Linked DNA regions of Arabidopsis thaliana. The protein of the gene in region 1 interacts with the protein of each later gene in a pairwise test. Each region holds a gene or a part of one and is shown in the gene's direction. Other genes may lie near its edges.

Region 1 (5,541 bases):
AGAAACCCCTAAACAAATTTAGTAGGATGACATGAAATATCTTTGAATTCATCATCAGTAACTCAGTATCTCTTATGTCTGTCTAAACTGTTTGTTTATTCTCAATCACTTCTACAATTGGAAAACCGTTTTCTGTTGGCTTCCATGATGTGATTTGGAGTTTTTCATTTTGTTACAACTCTTTTTAAATATCCATTTTAGGCGATTTTAGAAGTAGTGGCTCATGAAAGTTTGTATACAGATATGGTTATATTAGTTTATCTCCAATGATCTTATTGAACAAAGGAAGTCATTCTTCTCTCATACTAGTAAGTCAGTAACTTACAACTCTAATGTTCCACGGCATCTATTTACTCGGTAACTAATTTAGTTTGATCCTTCAAGAAATTTCTCAAGTTTTCTTGTGCATGTTTCTTTTTACATCGAGGGCATTTTGTGAGAGGTGATATATATGTTATTAACTTCATTCATTTGAAACCCTACAATACCATTTCTTTGTTGTTGTTATGACAACAGAATCTGATCAGTTGAAATCAAGACGAGCAGATACATGATGAAAATCGAACAAAACAGAGGAAGAACAAATGCGGTGAAACAACAGATACAAAGTCAAGTAATAAATACAAATATAAGCTTCAAGATGTTGCAAAATCTACAAAATCCAATAAACACTCCTTAGAGGTCTAAACAAAGAGCCTTGACTCAATAGAACAGTATCAGAGTAAGACTTTCCAGTAAGAAAAGAAAAAAACATTCTAAGAATAGTAACAGTATCAAACTCTACATTGCTGCATTCACAAACAAGTGTAGGCAATACTATTCTACAACAAAAAAAAAATACAAAAAATCAGAAGATCTAAATAAAAAACTAGAGATGAAATCTATGGTTCATGTGATGTGATCTGATGTTTCCTACTTGGACCTCTCCTGGTACAAAAATACACAATCTTGATGTCAAAATCTCAAATAATTTAGTTTTTTTTGTGTGTGAAAAGATTGGAAAATATTTGATCGTGTACTTACTTGTTCTGTATGGGGCTATAGCGACTCCTCGGGATTTTCCGTAAGCTATCTCCTTCACCTCCAAGAGACTTCTGCTTCATCTCTTTGCTTATTTGCAAATCTCTCAAATCTCTATGTCCCTCTATGTGAAACTTGCTGCTAAAGAAAGCTAACAAAACCAGAAACAGAGCTATTGAGATCGATCTTGATGGATGGAATCTCTTCATTTGTGAATTCTCTTTTAGGTCTTGAGAAAACTTTTAGGTAGAAATATGATGAGTTAAAGTCTTAAAGAGAAGGAGATAGAGAAAGACAACTTGTAAAGCTTGTTGGCTTTGTAAGATATGTATGTATTGTCCTGCGACTTTTTTTGAGATCTGATCACGTGAATTAATTTTTCTTCTCCGAATCATTTATTTCAGATGCTGAGATATTTTTTTTATCTTAATCAACTAATTTATGGAACATTCACTGATGTTGAGAGTGTCCTCACTTTCATACAAGCACATGTATACACGTTTATTTATGTGTTTACCAATATTAGTAAATCCAACTTCATGAGATCTCAAAAGTTGCAGGTAAAACATTAACAGGCTGTGTTTTGTCTCTATGCTAATTGCTAAGGCATCAACATTATTTTCATTCATTTTTATTTTTGTTTTCCTAACAAGCTTTATAGGGACGACTGGACGAGCGAGAAGAAGACAGTCAAATATTTGGGACTTGAGTCACTTGCATGGGAAAATTGCAAAACAAAATTTTCATATATTTGAGAGTTTGAGTTTTACGTACTAGAGAAAGTTTTATAAAATTTAAGATCTTCTTCTAATCAAACATATTTTTAACAATGTAAACTAATACAAATTTTCAATAATTATTTGCATTAAAATCGGAAACTAATAAATAATAAAAAGAATATATCTTTGTCAAATTGTTTTAGGTGAAGCTACTACTACTATACCTTGGAACTTTTTCATTAGCATGGGCTGCGTTTCTTTTACAACTGGCACAATTTTGAAAAAGTGAAACTTATATATATATATATATATATATATATATATACTTTTTTTTTTATATCCACTTTTTATGAGAACGTTATGATGTAAACAAAAGAACTTTAAAATATACACACCTAAAAATCGTATTTAAGCTAAATCTTGCTGGAGTAATAACTATGTTAATCAAACCATTATATGGACAGCTTGTTTGATCAATCTTTGACCATGATAGTGTCAATCCCCCAATGATCCCGTAGAGGCTAATTAGCAATTCCTTAATTTTTTATCGTTCGGATTTATTTATTTTTGTTCAAATTACCGGTCGAATTGTTTTTCTTTTCTGAGCTCATATTTAGTGTTTTTAGTGTTTTTGAACTCAAATTACCGGCCGGATTTTTTAGTGTTTTTAGAATTAGCTCATAAATCTGAACTCATATTTAGTGTTTTTCTTTTCTTTTAAATTCAAAAGACATTTTATTTTATGAGAATACTAAAAACCATACAATGTACATATGATATCCCTTTTTTTTTATAAAGGAAAATAACCATGAAAAAATAGAAAATACAAAAGATGGTTTTATGGGAGATTTGCCATTTATGAAAAGGGAGAAACCATTGTGATTACTAGAAACAAAAAAAATATCGTGATTTTTAGAACATTTTTTTTCTTTGATTAATTTGTTACATTTCTTGTGTTTGTTTACAAAACCGAATTGTAAACAGAACCAGCCAAGCGCGTCTGCTTAATTGGGATTTGTTCCCGGTTTAAGTAAACCAACTCCTTGCTATTCTTTTTTAATCCCTCGCAGAATTTCTCATCCGATTTTCACAAACTTTCCTCGGATCTGGTCACGAATTGCTTTGTGTAACAAATTCAAATTCCAAACCCAAGCAAGCCTCCATTGAACTGGTACACGGATAAATTTTTTCTAAAGCTTTTCTTAGATTTCTCTCAATGCGATTTTGTTGAATTTCTTGGTTTCAGTCGATCGAATCAAATGAATTGCCGATTAGATGTTTTCTTAACATAATTTCTAGGATTTTGATCGAATTGCTGGTTCGTGATCGAGTGATTTGTCTGGATTAGATTTTAAGTTTTATGCAAATCTTGTTGAAAGGTGCTTAACTTTTGATTCAAGTTTTACTTAAGAGCCAAATTATAGGTCAATGTCATGTAGATTACTATTAATTCTTGAGTAAACTGGTTTAAATATGTTTTTGTATATATGTTCCAGATTAGAAGTTGATATTGATATAATTCAGCAAAGAGAAGAAGATTCTGCGGTGTTCTTGGTCACTTTGTGGTTTGTATAATGGCGTCTGGGACAGTGGGAGGGTTGTCTGAGGTATATAGTAGTGCAAAAAGGATTCTACTAAGAGCTCGGAATGGAATCGAGAAGTTGGAGAGGTTCGACTCTGATCCTACCGACCTCGCCTCCTCCGTGAAACGAGACATTACCGAGGTTCAATCTCTTTGTTCCAATATGGACGGTCTCTGGCGTTCGATCCCTGTCAAATCCCAGCGTGATCTTTGGAGAAGGTGAGGAAGTTTAGATCATCAAAATAGCTGAAGTAGTGGTTAAACTCTTGAGCATTTGGATTTTTTTTGCTGTAGGAAGAGTGAACAAGTAGGAGAAGAGGCTGAGTATTTGAACCAAAGTCTAGAGAAGTACATGTGGAGGAATCAGAGGAAGATGTTGGAAGCTAAAGAGAGAGCGGATTTGTTAGGTAGAGGGAGTGGAGAAGGAGCTCACATTTTGCAAATATTTGATGAGGAGGCTCAAGGAATGAACTCTGTTAAGAATTCAAAGAGAATGCTTGAAGATTCGTTTCAAAGTGGAGTTGCTATTCTCTCTAAATATGCTGAACAAAGGGATCGTTTGAAGGTAACCAAACCCTAACTTAAGCTTTAAGTCAATGAAGAAAACAGTTTTTTAACATTGGGTTTTTGAATTCTCAGAGTGCGCAGAGGAAGGCTTTGGATGTTCTGAACACTGTTGGGCTCTCTAACTCTGTATTGAGGCTCATTGAGAGGCGTAATCGTGTTGATACCTGGATTAAATATGCGGGTATGATCGCAACGCTTGTCATATTGTATCTCTTCATAAGATGGACACGCTAGAACCAGAGAACTTTAATTACATTACCATAGATTGTATGGAGAGAGTTTTGTAACACGTTTTTTTGTTTTGTTTATACCTCTTACAAGACATTTTCAAAACACTAGTACACATATTCTCCATTTCATTTGCGTCTAGTATGCTCTCGATTTATGCCAACTTTTCTTCCCCAACTTTTGATGTGTTCCTCCTATATCCGAGAATGATGTATTGCTCGCAGTGTAAGAGAACTTGTTCAAAACTTCTCCGAGACTGCAATCGTTGTTTAACACAGAAGCTACTACATTTGTTTGGGTCATTGCTTCGGCGACTAACATGAGCTTCAAGACAGTTCATATTTAAAGTGATTCGAAACAGTTGACTTTAGCATCATTGTATTAATGGTCAATGTTTTTTTTTGACCAAAATAGTCAATTCCCCAAAGGTCTGATTATGACAAATACCGAACCGGGATAGGATAATTATAATTAAATACAGAACCGACTCAACTGGAATAATTTTGATCCGGTTAAAGGAAAACCAATCTCCTTTTGATATTTCGACACTCTCTCTTTCCTCTCTCCTTGTCTCTGTACCGCGTCGAAATATGAGAAACGAATGATTTGATCATCAATCAACGAGAAACACACACGGAGAAAGAGAATCTCAAATTAGCTCCAGCTCCTGATCGATTCCGATTTTCACAATTCTTTCCTTGGATCTGCTCTTACCTTGTCACGATTTCACTTCCCTGTGTTTTTGATTTATACTTGGTCATCCAATAACGAAACTTTGATCAAACTGGTACGCCGATTATTTTCTTTCTTTCTTCTGATTTTCTTAGATTTCATTAACTTGATTGACTCAAAATCAATAGGGATCTTTAGGGAATATTCTTTGATATGTTTTGGAATTTTATCTGATTGCAAAATATTTGTGTGTATGTTTGTTTTGTTTAATTGGAATTTTAAGTTTTTTTTTTTGTTTTCATCACAATTTCATGGGTTTAGGCAATTTTGTTGAACGGTGATCTTTTTTTGTGTGTGTGTATCAATTTGTCAATTTGTATTTAGAACAGATACTTTAAGAAGTGTTGCTTCTCTATATGTGACTTGAGATTGTAGTAATAGCTTAACTATACGGCAATGTCATGGAGTAGATTATACATGCTTGTTCATGTCAGTTTTCCAGATGTATGACTTAAGCAGGATGGTTTCTTTATCGAAGATGACCTTAATTTGGTTTATGTTACTGTCATTCATTTCATACTTAAAGGTTGGATTATATTTTCTACAGTTTACAATTCGTTGTTTTGGTTGACAGGAACTACAGTTTATTGGAACTCCCTGAAGCATTTAGATGGCAGAAAAAGCTTGTATAAAGCGTCTTCAAAAAGAATACAGAGCGCTTTGCAAGGTATTATTTTCTTCTTATTCTGTTCC
Region 2 (5,710 bases), on another chromosome or scaffold:
ATCTTTTGATTGGTTGCTGCAGAGATTATTTCGGTGATTACAAATGACGGACGCAACATTGTGGTATGTTATACTCTCTTGTGTGATATCTGGTTTAGAACTCCTTATGTCAATGCAAGTATCTTAGTAAAGAGATCGATTTTTATATTTTTTCAGGGAGTTCTTAAAGGTTTTGACCAGGCTACAAATATAATCCTTGATGAATCTCATGAACGTGTGTTTTCCACAAAGGTTAGCTTCTGATTCCTGTTTTAAAGTATTTTCATCTGAACTTTTCGATGTTACTAAATTGAATGGGTGCAAATACATTTTTCTGCAAGTAAATTGGCCAGTGTATGACCTGCAAAACCTTGTTGGTTTGTATCCATGAGTGGCTATGATGTAGCAGAGTTCTCGATGTCTCCATATTTTGTTTGTAGTGATCGCATAAAACTAGAAAAATAGAGGTACTATAAGGATGCTAGTTTATCTTTTGTTCATTGTCACTCAAAGCATCTTTCGTCGTCTGGTATTGATCTTTTAATTGGTACTACGTTCTTGCTAATAATGTACATTGCTTGATTTAGTTGCGTAGTGTCATCTTTTCAACAGAATATTGAGGAAACTTACTCAGATATTTAAGATAGGCCTTGTCCTACAGTTCTTTGTTTGGTAAGAGAATAGTGAATCATGAACTAACTGGCCTCTGAATGGAAGTATCTAAATCAGATAGTGTTGGATACACCGAAACAGATTTAGTGTTAGTATTCTTCGAGTGTTATAACTGATTGAAAAAATCTTGTGAGTTCATATGTCAAAAGATTTAGCTAGTGATAGGTAAGTCAAATACGTAGATATTGGCAGTGTGTAATTAATTATACATGATCACCTCCTTTTTTTCGTAAGAGGGTTAAAGGTTTGATTCATGTCTGTTTTCTTGTTTACACTAAGAGTATGTCAGGTCATGTTGATACTTCATTAGACAAATGTTCTTGGATATTTTTGGTGTGAAGGCAGAGTTCTGTTAAAATGATGGATATTGGAATTAGGATTGAGACCTCTTACTATGTCTTCATCTTTGCAGGAAGGAGTACAACAACATGTGTTGGGTTTGTACATCATCAGAGGGGACAACATGTAATTCTTATCATCCATCATCATCAGTGATTTTCTAACATTGCAATTGTTTTTTTGTTTCAATAAAAAAAATGGTGTCATCTTTGATCAGAGGTGTTATCGGGGAGCTGGACGAGGAGCTTGATGCTAGTCTGGATTTTTCGAAGCTGAGAGCCCATCCGTTGAAACCCGTAGTGCATTGATTGAATATAGTTATGGTGAGAAAATCTAATTCTCTCATTCAAAGCCTAAAAACAAAGAGAAGATTTGATTGTAAACAATTTGGATAGTTTGTTTTGATGTCTGGAGTTGTCTTATTTGTGTATCCTAAGGACAAAAGCTATATGATATTTTATGTCTTAAACGTTTTGGTCGGAAACTTAAATCATACAATCTTTTGGACGGACCTAGGTTTGCTACTAGACCACAAATTCTTTGATTAGAAAAAAAACTTTTATTGTTAACCAAAATTTTATAGATATTCAAATTGCAAAAGAAAAAAAAAAGAGGAATTAGTTTCTGGTATCTTACAAATTATAATGTCGTTGCAATTTCATCTAGAAGGATTATATACATCATCAAATCTATCAACATCAACAAATGGCCGTATTTAAAACTTAGAAGCATCATACATTTTCTATAAGACAACAATATAGATATTAACTTAATATGTCATTCTCCCATAGTCGCATCATACAAGTCGTTGGTTTTGGTAATAACTCGCCAAAACCAAACACTTCTGATTTCATCGGAGTCTTGGGTCTTCTTTTACGATTCCAATGTAATATTCTTCATATTAAGTGATTTATTTCTTGAAATTTTTCATAGTAAGTGTTATCAGAAGCTTTTGATTTTTGGTTATTAATATGAAGAACAAAAGAATTGCGTTCTAAAAATTTTTCGTTGATAACGATTAATATTAAACAGAAACACTACAAATAAATTAACATCGTTGGGGCCTAGGGATTTCGAATGGAATTTTATTTGCAAAAAAAATAATAAAATAAAGCATGTTAACAAAAAAGTAAAAGAAAAAAAATTCATGACGAAATGCATGAGAACACTGCTGCATAAGTCTTAGGGGATTAGGTCAACAAAAGTAAAGTAGATCTTCATCAAATGTATTTTGACTTTATAATGTACCTATTAGTCAAACTATATGCGATCTAAATATTAAAAACTTGTATTTTCTCAAAGACAATGCGAGGCGTAAATATATGAAATTTTATTTTGTAGATTAAGTACCATTTATATATGAAATATAAATAAATCAAGAAGAGTAAACATGAAAGAGCAAAAGAGTAAATAGAAAAAATTATAGGAAATAAAAAGAAACAAATAGTAATTGGAAAATATCTTAAGTGGATATAACTTTTAGTTGTTTGATAATGTATAGGACTACAATATATGTATTTTCCAAAAAGTCATCCTAATTTTTCCATCTATATTGCAAGTAATTTGATACCTACTAATGATTTTTATTTTTTTTATTTGATGGGTTCACATCAAACTCAATTTCCATAAAAGACCGCTACCTAAGCAGACACGCAAATTCACATTACACGTGTGATGTGTTGTATGGAAGCGAATGTACTTGTTTTTCATAATCTATAGGTTCATATAGAGAAGTCTCTCCATTGAAAAGTTCTTCCCTCTTGACTTTAAAAACTCCATAAGGTCCCTACTTATATTAATTTCCCAAACCCCTAAATAAGATCTACAAACAAAGCTTCTTCTTCTTCTTGGTGTCATCAAGATTTTCCAAAAATGTCTCAACACCAAAAAATCTATCCGGTCCAAGATCCAGAAGCCGCAACAGCGCGTCCAACAGCTCCTTTGGTTCCTCGTGGTTCCTCTAGATCAGAACATGGAGACCCATCCAAAGTCCCTTTGAACCAAAGGCCACAACGGTTCGTGCCGTTGGCTCCTCCAAAGAAGAGAAGAAGTTGTTGTTGCAGATGCTTTTGCTACACGTTCTGCTTTCTTTTGCTTCTTGTCGTTGCAGTAGGCGCATCCATTGGTATACTATACCTTGTCTTTAAACCGAAGCTACCGGATTACTCTATTGACCGGTTACAGCTCACCCGGTTTGCACTGAACCAAGACTCGAGTTTGACTACGGCTTTTAACGTGACTATAACCGCTAAGAATCCGAACGAGAAGATTGGAATTTATTATGAAGATGGGAGCAAGATTACCGTGTGGTACATGGAACATCAACTAAGCAATGGTACGTCACTTTTGGTTTACTCCGGTTTGCTTTCTTTTGGTTTTTTAACGTAGGAAGGCTTCAAAATCTCACTACAAAACCGGTTTATTTGGTTGATTTCTGTTCTTTTCCTTTGGTTTGGTTCGTACACAAGGAAGACTTTAAAACTCTTTTCAAATTAGGGATGTCTAAATTTTTTTGGTTGGCTTTGGGTTTACTTTCATTTTGGATTAGGATTGTCAAATACTGTATATCTTTAGTTTCAAACAAAATTTGGTTTAGATAGTTTTTGTTCGGTTCATATTCAATAGTTCGGATATAATAGAGTTAATTCATTCAAATCAATCGTTTTTGGTAGAGTTGGATCATACCGGTTTATCCGGACTGAAAACCCCAAAACTAAACATATTTATTTATGTTGTTTGGTTTTCTTGTTTGATTATAATTCGTTTACACCATTTCAAACCGGGTCTTCTTATAGATTTAACTTCATTGAACTTTTGTGATTTTTTTGAATAGGGTCGTTGCCAAAATTTTACCAAGGACATGAAAATACGACAGTGATATACGTAGAAATGACTGGTCAAACACAAAATGCATCGGGTTTAAGGACGACATTAGAAGAGCAACAACAAAGAACCGGGAATATACCATTGAGAATTAGAGTAAACCAACCGGTTCGGGTCAAATTTGGGAAGTTGAAGCTCTTCGAAGTAAGATTCTTGGTCAGATGTGGTGTATTTGTTGATAGCTTGGCTACCAATAATGTTATTAAGATTCAAAGTAGTAGTTGCAAATTTCGTCTTAGGTTATAGATCCGTTTTTTTTTATATAATTAATATCGAGATATACAGAGGGAATTTTGTCAGATATAGTCACATACTCATATATAGTTCTCCTCTAAAGTACATTATTGTGTCTCAGACCTTTGTTGTATAATAAACTGTTGGTTTAAATTAATATATTAAAGTATACAATACTATGTACATAGGTGGAATTCAAAGTATAGTAGTTGTAAGTTTTTAAAACCAGAGCATGTCCACCACTCCACCTTACCTTCTTTTAAGCAAACAATTGGTTGAAGGTAGACTCCAAAATTCAGTTTTAACTACTTACAACTTAAATTGGAGGTAACTCCAAGATCTTAGTTATGAATTCAAATTTGCATTAGATTTACTTGTTCCAACAATTACTTCTGGTATTCTAAAGCAAAGACCAAACTCAATAAATAAACCTTATGGTAAGACATTCCAAGCAACATGAAAGAGATAATAAAGAGACATAGATATATAGAACAAACTGAATTTTTGCGAGAAGAGAGAGACATGTAGAAAAGAAACGCTAAAAGAACTTACACAAAGAAGATTCATGTACTTAACTTGTGACAGTCCTCTGTAACAATTTGAGAACTATCCTCATGAAGTAAGGTCCTGAATCAAAAGTACAAAGAAACAAATTCCTAGTTCAAGTTATATACCAAACCGAAGTCTTTGTAGTTGTACAACCAGTTTCAGGAGGAAGGCTACCTTTGAAAGGTATTGTAACACTGGCTAGAGAATGAGCATAATGTCGATAATTTTTCTTTTGATGAAAAAAGATTTAGAGAATGGCAAAAAATATAATATATGCGCTCATATTGGTGGTAAGTCATATATCTTTCTATTATTCGTTACTATATCATAAGCTTTGTATATTATTTGGCCAAAAAAAAAAAGATTTGTATATTGTAGTTTGACTAGAGAAAAACAATGAAATGTGTCGGATTTCAAATTTGACAAAGAAAACTCTACTTAAAGTTCACAACTGAACGGTAAGTTTCATTAGGTTTCCAATTCGCCGGAATAACATTATAAGCTAGGACTACTTTATGAGATTCAGCAGAAGTAAGTCTGATGTTGAATGGTCCTGTTAGAGGACTGCCAGAGCTGATCTTCCATACAGCAGACCTCATTTCTTGCATGGGGATGAATTCTCCGTCGGCTGGTTGAATTTCTATATAGGCCAAATCTCCATCACCGTTTTCATACTCGACAACAAATGAAATGTAGTACGGATTTGCTCCAGGGTCCATACGGAAAGCTATGTTAGTTCTTCGATATAAACATTCCACGCTGATCAAAAAACAATAGTCAATATTTTGATTCGTATATCATAGAAAATAGTTGAATTTTAATTAAATAATATTTCTGTAAAGATAATAACAAAAATGAAAACATTGATTTCTTTGATTTATCAAAAAAAAAAAATTCAACTCAAAACCTAGATATACATACTAAAAGGAAAAATTTTAAAACAAAAATTATGTAAGTATATAAGTACCGTCTGTAGTAAACACGTAGAACACCAGCCGATCGAAGTCGATCGCCTTGGCCAGGTCTGGCTAAGGCACCCATGGCTTTGCCGCTA
Region 3 (5,185 bases), on another chromosome or scaffold:
TCAGTTTTCTTCCTGGCGAAACATAATCCTCCTAGCTTTCGCTCCTGCAAATTCATTCATCAATTTTTGGTAATCGAGCTTCTCAACCAGTTCTTGTTATACAGATATCAGCGCCAAACCATTCAATCGCTCTTGAGACATAGTCGAACGTAGATATTTTTTTATGAGCTTTAATTTTGAAAAAGTTCTCTCCGCCAAAGCAACTGAAACCGGAATGGTGAGTAGTATACGATAAGCGATCCATGTGTTTGGATAACAGCTATCCATTATTTTCAAAAATTTCAACACTTCGACCGGCTTTGTAATCTCTTTTGGCAACACATCTTTTAAAAGTTTCAGCTCCATAAACAGATCTTCTCCATCAACATCTGAATGCACATCATGCTTCAAAGAAGCTTCAAGCTTCATACACGATGTCCTTAACTCATCATCTTCTGCTACCTTCAATCTCTTTACACCAAACAAAAATCCAAATATTTGTTCATATACTTGGAATTGCTCGAATCTTATCTCAATACACATTATAGCTTGATCCATTATATTGATGAAGTAATCAATTCTAAAACTCTCCTCTGCAATCTTACTTTCATCAATCTTCTCAACATCCTCAACAAATTGCTTTTTTTTTTTCACCGACTTTTTTGGAAATACCGGCGCAATCTTCATCTCAATGGCAATTTGTGTAGATTCAACTTTGGCTTTCTCGAAACCTGTTTCTTTGTAGTTTTTCAAATAAGTAACAAGCCCTCCTAACTGAGAAATAGCAACCTCAAGATCCATATCCTCAAACTGTAAGGATTTGCTTACTATATTCACAGCAGCTAGCAAATCGTACCAAATTATCATTCCAAATAAAAATTCAAACCCTCCAATTCCATGTGTTTCACTCTCTGTAAGAGACTCAACATCACTCCGGTGTCCTGGATTATCAGTGTATTCTGCCAAATAAAAAAGTGCATCTTGTATCTGTATCTTTGAAGCTTAATATCTTATTGGTTTAAGACTATCAATGCGGCTTTCCCAACGCGTTTGAGACAACGGTTTAAGTGTAATACCATTCACTGTTTCTCTAAACACTTCCCAATTGTTGGTTGAAGCTTCAAACAGACAATGTATTCGCTGAACAATTCCAAAAAAAGAAACAGCTTTCTTGGATGATGAAGCCATATCACAAAGTGCAAGGTTAAGACCATGGCATCCACATGGAGTGTAAAATGCTCTTGGATTTATATCAAGCAACCTTTTCTGAACTCCTTTATGTTTTCTCTTCATATTTTGTCAGTTGTCGTATGCTTGTCATCTTACATCATCAATATTCAACTTAAGATCAATCAATGCATCTTGAAGAGTCTTAAAAAGCCCCTCACCCCTCTTATCTTTGATGTGTAGAAACGTCAAGAAGAACTCCTCAATCTTAGGTGAACACGTTGAAACATCCACACATCGAATTAAGAAGGTCATTTGTTCTTTACGACTAACATCCGGAATGGAATCAAGAATGACTGAAAAATACTTCGCATCTTTAATCTTCTTTAAGATCATCATCTTGGTATCATTAGCAAGTAATTCTGTCAATTCATTCTGACTCTTATGACTGGGAAAATGGCAATGAATTTCACCTTTATTAGCCCGCCGAATGTGTTCCTTCATATCCGAATTAAAACCTCCAATCATTCTAATAAATGCCAAAATATTTCCACTATTTGGATCATCAACATTCTCTTTAGTTCCACAAAATGCTAAATTTTGTTTAGCTAGAGTCTTTACCACTGCAATTATTCTCACCAATACATCTCTCCAATGTTTTTTCTCCTTCTTAATTGCCTATTCCATATGGTTATCAATTGTTTTACTCTTTTGTAATCTCACTTCTAGCTCCATCCAATGAGTCATGGAAATAATATGACGATGAGTTGTTTCATGTCTTTTCAGCCTTTGCGCAGCATTTTTCCAGTCATTATACCCACTACTTGCTAACAATGTAGGATTTGTTTCTTGATCGAATAATTAGAGAGAAATTCGATCCGCTGATTTTTGAGGAATATTTGAATTTTGATTCTAAAAATAAGTGAATTCGAGTTTTGGTGACAAAGCAGCGCATTTGTTAGCTGATTGTATTTTGATTATTGATGCTATATAGACATAGATTTGTGCGAAAATTGAGGAACAAGAGAGAAATTTGATCCGCTAATTTTTGAGGAAGATTTGAATTTCGATTCTAAAAATAGATGGATTAGATCTGCAGCGTTTGTTAGTTGAATGTGTTTCGATTATTGATGCTAAATATACATAGATTTGTGCCAAAATGAGGAATTAGAGAGAAATTCGATCCGCTAATTTTTGAGGAATATTTGAATTTTGTTTTTAAAAATAGATGGATTCGAGTTTTGGTAACAATCGGCGGTGTTTGTTAGTTGATTGTGTTTTAATTATTGATGCTAAATAGACATAGATTTGTGTAAAAATTGAGGAACTGAGAGAAATTTGATTTGCTAATTTTTGAGGAATATTTGAATTTTAATTCCAAAAATAGATGGATTCGAGTTTTGATAACAATTCGCAGCGTTTGTTAGTTGACCATGTTTCGATTAATTATACTAAATCGACATAGATTTGTGGAAAATTGAGGAAATAGAGAGAAATTCGATCCGCTAATCTTATATGAATATTTGAATTTCGTTCCAAAAATAGATTATTTAGAGTTTTGGTAACAATCAACGGCGTTTGTTAGGTGATTGTGTTTTTATTATTGATGTTATATAAACATAGATATTTTGATCGGAGTTTTGATCGGCGACGATGGAGAGAAACGTCGAGAAGATGCTGAAGAGAGTATCAATAGTGTTCTTAAGCATCGGAACAGTATTAATGGTAATTATGATTCTCCAGACACCAAAAACTTGTATTTCTCCAGAAGCTCCATCGAAACCTCATACGCATTTCCCGAGATCTACATGCGATTCATCGCCTCGTCAGCATCTTCCTCTCCCAAAGAAGAACGCTCGAATCTGGTCCTCTGGAGCTTGGAAATCTCGTCTATACTCCTTCTCTACCTACTTCCTCCGATTTCGCGATCTCGGATTCATTCAAAATCACACCAAAGCTCTCTGTCTCTCCGCCGGAGCAGGCCATGCTCTGATGGCTCTTTCTCAGATCGGATTATCTGATGTTACCGCAGTTGAATTGGTTGATTCGATTCCTCTTGTGAAAAGAGCTGATCCTCATAACCTTCCGTTTTTCGACGGTGTCTTTGATTTTGCCTTCACTGCACATCTAGCTGAAGCTCTGTTTCCGTGGCAGTTTGTGGAGGAGATGGAGAGGACGGTGAGACGTGGCGGATTTTGTGTGGTTTCGGTTGATGAATGTGGTGGAGATGATGTAAGAGACATTGCTAGGCTTTTTCATAACTCCAAGGTCGTTGATGTTGCTAATGTAACCTTAGAAGGATCCAAAAAGACTAGTATACTATTCAAAGTTCAAGACTCTCCTACCTGAGGTGTTTTATTTCTCTTTTGATTTATAGGCCCTTTCCGGATTCTCAGAAAACTGCTTCAATATTCATAGAGTGGAGCTAGATTTGTTTCTGTTGAAATTCACTTACATGTTTGAAAAGCAGGAGATTTAACAGATTATGTGGTAACATTGTTCAAAGACCATGACCATATTTGTTCTGGATCCTAAAGCAATGTTTTGTTGAGGGAAGCTGCGATGTTTGTTGCGAGTTCAAGATCCAGAACAAAAGCTTTCTACAGGTTAATATCTTTTTTTTTGGAAGTTGGTCTCTGAGCTAAACAATTCTTAGGAACCTTGGTCGCTTTTGAAACAAGTAAAGAACTTTCAACAGCTTTTGAAGACTTTAGTGTGTGATGAAAGAAAGTACTTTCTTTCCAGGTGAGGTTCACGTTTCAATCTGTTAGAGCTCTCCTGTGTACTATTTGTGAGTTAAGTAAAATACTCTTTAGTCATTTTGTATACTTAGAAAGAACAAAATTCTTATTGGTGAATAAAAGGCTCTTACTAAAAAAAAAAAAAAAAAAAAAAAAAAATTTTCTCTCAAGCAAGATAACCAAGGTAGCCGCAAGCCTTGTTCGTGATTAGTTCTCTTCACCGGCGTTGCTCCTCTGACTGCCTGCGTTCCTGATTGTAGCTACTACTAAAGTGAGATCTCTCCAATGAATCTACTTTTCCGGTGGCGTAATTGTTTTCCGGCGAGTCTTTCACTTGAAATGACTTTCCTTTTTCTCTCGAATGCGAGCCACTCTCGTCGCTTACCGTCGTCTTCGGTCGCCTTCCTCCTTCTGAGGCCACCTTGTGCACCACCACCAGAGCCTCCATCTCCGCCGACTCCACCGGAACCACCGGATCCACCAGATTCTCAGATCTGCTTCACTTTTGCTGATTCTTATGCTCAGTCGTTGAGCTCCTCTTCCCTCCCAGATTTGGTCTCGCTCATTCTCCATATCTCCTCCGCCATATCTGAATCTCCGTCACCGACCTCTTCGATCACTGATTTTTTCATTGATGTTTTCCTTCTCGCCGACGACACCACTTTTCTTCCTCAGTATTTCCCTCAGGTTTGCTCTTACTCTTCGCCGTATGTTTCTTCTAAGATTGGAAGGGTTTGGTTGTTGATAGAGTTTGTGGCTCTGGTTTTGTGGAATTTGGGTTTGTGTAATTCATATGTAGCTTATCTAGTTTCGATTGGCTTGGATACTTTTGTGCTCTCTTGTAGCACCTCTATCGCTTTGATGCGATCACTTACCACAATATGTGGATGTCTTAATTCGCCTTTGTTAAAAGTTGTCTCATCGCAGCTTAGACAGAATGTTTTGGATACTTTTGTGCTCTCTTGTAATACCTCTATCGCTTTAATGCGATCTTTTACTGCAGTATGCGGATTCTATCTCGATTTGTTTTTGTTAAAAGTTGTCTCTTCGCAGCTTAGACGGAGGGCTTTGATTTCAGACAACCTACCAGTTTTTCTGGTTCATTGGGGATTTCATAGCCCTCATCTCTCCTTTATGGAGCTTTTTATCCTCTCAAATACTTCACTTGTGTTTAGTGATAAAGTTACAGGGAGCATTGTGTGCAATACTGATCTGCTTGAAGTAGAAGCGAGGATTGTTGTTCAAGACTGTTCTCATTCAGCCTTTGCCGATTGTTTGACGTTAGTGTCATTGGAGGC
Region 4 (7,023 bases), on another chromosome or scaffold:
TAGGGTTCTAAAAAAGGTAACCTCAAAGTCGCCACCTGCTTCTCCGGCCTTTAAAAACGTAGTCTCGTAAGCCGCCGTCTCGAGCCCTTCTTCGAGCCGTGTCACAGTGTTGACCACAATGTCGTGATTCTCAGAGACCAAGGCGTCGCGGTTGTACCGTCTGGTTAGGTTACGTGCGAAGGAAGGAGTACTGCTCTGGTTATTGGAATCTGACCTATTCCGGGAAGCTTGGATGTCTTGAAGAATGGTTTTGAGGTAAGCGTAATCTATATAAGCTTCTTGCCATTCTGGGATCATCTGAGACACAAACTCTTTCCCAAACCTCATGATTCTTCAACCTTCAGATCTTTTTTTTTCTTGCTCGAAGTCTACAGTCAGAATCTCAAATTATGAATCTTGGCCTCTCTCTGTCTTTGGAACAAAAGTTGGAAAGAAGAATGTGACTTTTTGACTTTTGGGTTTTGAGTGATGCTGAAAGTTTTTCTAGAGAGGTAGACCAGGTCTTGAGTCTTAACTTAGCCAACAAAAATATGAATTCGTTTTCGTCCACAATTTTAAACAATAAAAAAAAAATACCCAAAAAAAAAAACAGACAATCAAAAGTCAAAACTCTTAAAAAATTACTAACAAAAATATGAAATTGTTATAAGATATCGTTTTGTTATATATCATTCTTAATTAAGGTTTATAAGTTGTAAATTAAAATTTAAAAACTATGAAATTAAAGCAAAAGTAACGTTAGCAACGCATGTTACATCGTTTTTGTGCAAAACGCATGTTACATCTATCGAGTAATTTTCCATTGCCAATAAATTATTGATATAACTAGAAGTTTGATTATAGTTCAATAAAATTTATGGCCTGTTTTCGGTATGGATTAGGATCCTAGATATTTTTATAATCAACCCTGCATGTGACATGTGAAATGTCAATGTGCTTATTAAATCTGTAGTCAATCAATACATGTCATGTCAATGTGCTTATTAAATTATTATATGACATATATCAACGTACGTTCCCACTTGAGATGATTAGGTTTTGGTCAATGCCTTGGTGGTGGCTCTATACGCGTAAATCGTATCTTCTACATCGGTTGACAAAAAAAACTGGTATCTTCTACACTTTTATCTTTTGAGCTTCTCTGTTTTGTCGCCACCTAATGTGTAATGTCTTTTATTCAATGCAAAACCCGTATCTTCTACATTTCGTTGACAAAACAAATTGGTATCTTCTACACTGTGTAGTGACCACAATGTATCATCAACTGGTATTGCATCAGCTCAGAAGCGAGTCATTTGGGCATTGTATATTCTACGGACCAATTTTTTTCATTTTTAGCAAACAAATTTTACAAACTACATATCGGTTGTCCATAAAGAAAACAAGTACGTAGAAAAATAAGAAAACAAGTACGTATACTTAACGCTAATAAATAGCAACCGACTTTTGAATTATTTGATTTAACTCTTTAAATTATTTCTTAGAAAGAGTTATGGAAGAATTAAAAGTTTTAAAAACATTTGATGCTAATCTAGTTTTTCTTTGGTGACTTTTTTTCAACCAATTTGAGATGTTTTAAATGGGGATCTGACAAGTAACTATTGTACCAGGAATACGCACCATTTCCTTTTTTTGTGCTTATAAATACATATTTATTTATTTTATTTATATAATAATTTGAAAACTTAGAAATTACACTAATTTATTAATTCTTTACTTACAAACAATTGGTTTTAGTTTTTAAAATTATCCAAGGCTGATTTCACCTAATTAAAATAACCATGACTAGATTTTAACCCGCGGACAACTTATTTTTTAAATTAGTATATATAAAAGTTTGCAAATTAAATCTATTTATTTTTATTTTATAGTTTACAATTGTTATTAAATAACGTCTTACCAAACCCGTCTCGCCAAATCCGCCCCGTAAAAAAAAACCGCGGTACACCGCTAATTTAAATATATAATTAAAAGAAATATTTTACGGGATTGCAATTGTATTTTGGTTTGTCAAACAAATATTTGTTTAAAATAGTTGCCAAAATCTAGTTCAAATTTTGGAGAAAAAAGATTTATTGGATAGATAAAGAATATATTTAGGTGGGTTTTGCTCATTTTAAGGGATTGCAATTATATTTTTGTTTGTCAAACATTTTTTGTTTTAAATAGTTGCTGAATATATTTGGAATATTTTTAGTTTATTAATCAATTTATTGCTGGAAAAAAATCAATAATTAATACTCAATGGCAGCCTAGTAAATAAGTCCCAACTCTAAGATTTATTTCACAAAATGGCTGCAAAAATGTATATATAGATGATTCATTATTTCATTTTATGCGGTAGGAGTAAAAACAACATTAACTAGCAAAAACTATAATACACACACAACAGTAACTACTCATCGAGTATGGCATTCATGGATACGAATCAAATCTCAAATCGTATAAGCCTGGCCATTATTTTATTTTACAATATTTGATAATGTGCTACCTAAATATCAAAATTTTAGAATATTCTGAAATAAAATGTCGAATTTTTGTGATAGCCTTAAATTACTACATGCTCACGTATGTAAATTTTCTATTCTTTCATAGTTAATTTTCTATTAAAATGTACAATTTCCAGTTTGATGGTATGAAGATCAACAAAGTACCATAAAAATGTATAATTTCTATTTCTTCCTAATTAATATTCTTTAAAGTGTAATTTTCCAGTTCATCCTTGTTAATTTTCTTAAATAATAAAATGTAAAACTTACAAATTTCACGGACTTTATTAACAGAAATGTAAATAATTGTAAATAAATGTAAACATACTGTGTCACAAGAAGACATGACAAAAAATAAAAACAGTAGAAATAAACTTTTTTCTGGGTGCGTGTGGTAAAACAAACATGGGGACTGATCCAATGAAGTTTATCGCAATTTCTGGAATTTCAGTCGGTGTATTAATCATCATCGCACTGATAGTGGCTTATGCCTGCTATCGTGCCCGAAAGGAAGGACCAGTCAGAGGCGACGGACGACTCACACCTATTGTAATGATGATATGATATATCACCTATTTTCGATCTTTTTCTAATAATTTATTTTATGATGCAACTTTTTAGATTACTATATACTATAGAAGAGCATATTGTAATTCTATTTTACCTATATAATAATAAATAATATTTCGGCGATTTTGTCATATGCTGGAGTGTTACATTAGATGATGACTAGTAGGGTTTTTTTTTTTATGTGAAAACAACAATCGTTGTGTCATATAACGCGAAGTGACAAACAAACAATTCGAAATATTAGCAATGTTACAAAATTCGAAATATACGCAATGTTATGGTGGTGTTGACCGAAGGGTAGTTTCGTAACTTTACATCATCGCGTGGTCGTATACGCGCCGATGAGATCACAGACGGCATTAATGGGCTCCGGAAGAAGAAACAAATGATTAATTTAAGGAATAAATTACCACTAAATTCGTTTGATTATTTCCGGAAAACAATTAACTAATAAAACTATAACTAACCTTTGTTTAATTTTTTGATTTCGCGTCTTCACTGTTGTGGATTTCTTCTGAATCTTCTGAGCTCGCTTCACCTACAAGAAGACAACAAGGATCATTTTCTCTAGGTTCGTAGATTCTCTTTCTTCTTCTTCTTCGTTTGGATCTGCTTAGTGAAGAAGATAATCTTCTGAAAAATTGTTTGTTTTTTTTCTGAAAATCTGAATACGTAATGATTTGAGCTGAATCTGAGTTAGATTCACATTTATATTCTGGATTTGTGCTATTTGATGATTTATTAGATCGATCATCTTGTTTTCTTCTTTCGCCTTTAAGTATGTTTGCTCATAGTGTTGCTCTTCCAGATTCCAGATCCTGAAGAAGGTGAAATCTTATCTGTGATCCAGTGGAAGATTGAATCAAGTAACAGATTCACTTAGTTCACTTGCGTATTGCATGCCCCTGAAGATAACATTTTGAATAATGTTGATATTGAATTATCACCTATAAGCTCTGGTTCTTGTTGCTTGTATTGGTTCTGGGTATCTACTAGTGAAGAAACCATGGCTTTTGGTTCTCCTAGGAATAATTCTATATTAGCTGCGGCTGGATTTCCTCGGAAAGTGTCTACAGTTGCAATTGCTATTGGTGGTTTGGCATCATTCTTTGTTTTCGGATTGTTGCTTCGTCTTTCGTATCCGAATAGTTCTTCAGTTGGTGGCATATTTTATGGGATAGGGAATCCTGAACAAGTTCATGTCCCTTTATCTTTGAGCAACCATACTGTCAATATCCTTCAGAAGAGTAGTGACATCAATGCGTTTGATAAAAATCTGACTTCTGATTCTAGCTCTGGCTTACCTGTTGTTGTTAGCAAAAGTATACCACCTCCAGATTTCAGTAGTGATAGGAAGTTGGAGACACCTTTGACACAAGAAAAAGAGGATTTGGTTTCTTCGGATATAACTGAAAAGACTGATGTTCAATCAGGTGAACGTGAAACCAATGTTTCCAAGGCTGAAGACACTCCAAGTGCATCATCTCCTCCAGATGATGTCTCTGAAACTGCTTCAGCAGAACCAGGTACTGTTGTTATCTTTTAAACGCTTATTTCCGTAGCTTTTGTCGTATTTGGAACATTTTGAGTTATGGTAGCTTAAATTTCAATAAACAAAGACTAAGCTAGTGTGGGAATGTTATAGAACATTTAGTTTTGCATTTCTATGGAAAGGCGTAAGTTTCTGAGAAGTTTTAAAGAAATTCAGCGGCTAAACTCTTAGCTATAGACCTACTGTAATTATTCTAGCCGAGGACTGAATATAGCAGATTAGAGTAAAAACTTGGTTAGGGAGCAGATAGTGAGTGCTGGGCTTGTAAGGTGGTCTCAGCATTTTGTTTTAGGGGTTAGAGTTTCTAGGCTTTGTGGGCATTTGGTTGAGAGTTCTACCTGTTTTGGTGAATTGGAATAAGAAGAGCAGTTTCATAGATCTGTTCTTGTCAGTTTCCCTTGCTTCTCATGATTCTAGCTGTTCGATGTTTTATATTTCTGTTATGAGTTTGTCGCTTACTCAAATCTTTGATTGCTTGTAGAGTGTGATTTGTATCAAGGTAGTTGGTTTTATGATCCTGGGGGACCTCTCTACACGAACAACTCTTGCCCTGTCCTGACGCAGATGCAGAATTGCCAGGGAAATGGAAGACCTGACAAGGGATATGAGAACTGGAGATGGAAACCGTCTCAGTGTGAGCTTCCTCGGTTTGATGCCAGAAAATTTCTTGAACTTATGAAAGGCAAGACACTGGCCTTTATAGGAGATTCAGTAGCTCGTAATCAGATGGAGTCCATGTTGTGCCTTCTTTGGCAGGCAAGTAATTCAATTTAATGGTGAAAACCGGTATAAGGGATCTATTGTGTTGCTTTATTCAGCTTCAGGAGATCGTATGTATTATATTAAAGTAGGTTTCTGTTTTCAGGTTGAAACACCAGTCAATCGTGGGAGCCGAAAGATGCAGAGATGGTATTTTAAGCAATCATCAGTAATGATTGCCCGTATTTGGTCATCTTGGCTTGTTCATCAGTTCAACGAAAAATTCGATTATGCTCCTGAAGGTGTCACAAAACTAAAGCTGGATCTTCCTGATGAGCGCATAATGGAAGCTATCCCGAAATTCGACGTGGTTGTCCTCTCATCAGGGCACTGGTTTGCAAAGCAGTCTGTCTACATATTGAAAGAAGAGATCGTGGGAGGCCAATTATGGTGGCCAGACAAATCAAAACCCATGAAAGTCAATAACGTGGATGCATTTGGAATATCAGTTGAAACAATCCTTAAGTCCATGGCTACACACCCGAACTACAGCGGTTTGACCATTGTGAGAACATTCTCACCTGATCATTACGAAGGTGGTGCTTGGAACACAGGTGGATCATGCACGGGGAAAGAAGAACCCATCCTTCCAGGGAAGCTAGTGAAAAACGGATTCACAGAGATAATGCATGAGAAGCAAGCGACAGGATATAACCAAGCCGTCGATAAAGTCGCGGAGAATTTGAAGCTAAAACTAAAGCTGATGGATATCACAGAGGCATTTGGATATCGCCATGATGGTCATCCTGGTCCATTCAGAAGTCCTGACCCTAACAAGATCACTAAACGGGGACCAGACGGACGGCCTCCACCTCAGGACTGCTTGCACTGGTGCATGCCAGGACCAGTCGATACATGGAACGAAATGGTCTTGGAGCTCATAAGGAGAGACAGGAAAAGCTCATCAACTTGACTTGGTTTGAAACTCAAAGGATGAGAGAGCATATTACACGACTTATACTATTAATCTGATTCTTGGTTACTGATAAACTCAAAGATAAACTCACTTGTAGATTTGTGCTAGGCACGGTGAGTTAGGATTAGAATTTGTTCCACTATACTTGTTGGTTCGTTTGTCCTGAGATTGAAATTTAAGATTTGGGAGTTATGAGTTCAAGTTTATTCATACTAGTCGAAATTTCATAAATTATATAAACTGGGGGGGGCGCATTTGCAAAATAGCTGAGTAATAATCGCCTATCTCACTGACTCACCCAAAGCCCGACCAAAAGCTTTTGATTCCTCAAGAGTGAAAATGGCGTCGTACACAGTCTCCTTTATCCCTTTGACGCTCTCTAATCCTCGGATCTTTGTTTCGAGACAGAATGGATCTCCCTCGTCTTCTTCTCGGATTCCTCTAACGTCTTCTCTGTTAGGTAAGAAGCTTCTGGCGACACAACCGTCGCATCGCTGCTTCGTCCCCAAGCTCCGGTGCTTGACCTCGGCCAGCACGGTCTTAAACGTCCCTATTGCGTTAGTTTTTTTATCTGACAGCTCTTTTACATCTTTATCATTTCTGGGTTTTTCCTTTCACCACGGATATTGAAGCTTAGGGTGTTAAGGTTGAATTTTTCAGGCAACCGGAGAATGGTTCTTCGGATAAGATCCCAAAGTGAGTCTCACTCCAAATTACGTATAGAATTTGTAATTGTA

What was found.
Region 2: the proteins of MEMB12 (region 1) and AT1G65690 interact in a protein complementation assay, tested with the Arabidopsis thaliana proteins (one large-scale study listed by BioGRID).
Region 3: the proteins of MEMB12 (region 1) and AT2G16030 interact in a protein complementation assay, tested with the Arabidopsis thaliana proteins (one large-scale study listed by BioGRID).
Region 4: the proteins of MEMB12 (region 1) and TBL18 interact in a protein complementation assay, tested with the Arabidopsis thaliana proteins (one large-scale study listed by BioGRID).

The regions. Positions count from the first base shown.
Region 1 is NC_003076.8:20,536,225-20,541,765, reverse strand, and holds MEMB12 (membrin 12), read left to right. Parts: upstream 1-2,769; 5' UTR 2,770-2,910; intron 2,911-3,206; exon of another isoform or gene 3,207-3,235; 5' UTR 3,236-3,313; coding exon 3,314-3,540; intron 3,541-3,615; coding exon 3,616-3,886; intron 3,887-3,960; coding exon 3,961-4,122; 3' UTR 4,123-4,340; downstream 4,341-5,541. Other genes in the region: AT5G50443 (uncharacterized protein), read right to left, coding at 882-927, 1,024-1,229; UBC33 (ubiquitin-conjugating enzyme 33), read left to right, coding at 5,459-5,515. UniProt on the Arabidopsis thaliana protein: Involved in transport of proteins from the cis/medial-Golgi to the trans-Golgi network.
Region 2 is NC_003070.9:24,430,051-24,435,760, reverse strand, and holds AT1G65690 (Late embryogenesis abundant (LEA) hydroxyproline-rich glycoprotein family), read left to right. Parts: upstream 1-2,595; 5' UTR 2,596-2,862; coding exon 2,863-3,325; intron 3,326-3,823; coding exon 3,824-4,119; 3' UTR 4,120-4,344; downstream 4,345-5,710. Other genes in the region: LSM8 (Small nuclear ribonucleoprotein family protein), read left to right, coding at 23-63, 157-231, 575-651, 933-984, 1,064-1,116, 1,208-1,298; EXPB6 (beta expansin 6), read right to left, coding at 5,091-5,415, 5,624-5,710. UniProt on the Arabidopsis thaliana protein: Plays an important role in the abiotic stresses-induced abscisic acid (ABA) signaling and biosynthesis. Acts as a positive regulator of ABA-mediated seed germination inhibition. Functions downstream of ABF2/AREB1, ABF4/AREB2 and ABF3.
Region 3 is NC_003071.7:6,972,506-6,977,690, reverse strand, and holds AT2G16030 (S-adenosyl-L-methionine-dependent methyltransferases superfamily protein), read left to right. Parts: upstream 1-2,683; 5' UTR 2,684-2,799; coding exon 2,800-3,495; 3' UTR 3,496-4,018; downstream 4,019-5,185. Other genes in the region: AT2G16040 (hAT dimerization domain-containing protein / transposase-like protein), read right to left, coding at 97-938, 1,368-1,674; AT2G16020 (uncharacterized protein), read right to left, coding at 4,105-4,335; AT2G16019 (uncharacterized protein), read right to left, coding at 4,409-4,519; AT2G16018 (uncharacterized protein), read left to right, coding at 4,173-4,574, 5,071-5,112.
Region 4 is NC_003075.7:12,966,122-12,973,144, forward strand, and holds TBL18 (TRICHOME BIREFRINGENCE-LIKE 18), read left to right. Parts: upstream 1-3,437; 5' UTR 3,438-3,630; exon of another isoform or gene 3,631-3,867; 5' UTR 3,868-4,065; coding exon 4,066-4,585; intron 4,586-5,092; coding exon 5,093-5,367; intron 5,368-5,476; coding exon 5,477-6,283; 3' UTR 6,284-6,523; downstream 6,524-7,023. Other genes in the region: SHB1 (EXS (ERD1/XPR1/SYG1) family protein), read right to left, coding at 1-327; AT4G25370 (Double Clp-N motif protein), read left to right, coding at 6,626-6,843, 6,947-6,982. UniProt on the Arabidopsis thaliana protein: May act as a bridging protein that binds pectin and other cell wall polysaccharides. Probably involved in maintaining esterification of pectins. May be involved in the specific O-acetylation of cell wall polymers.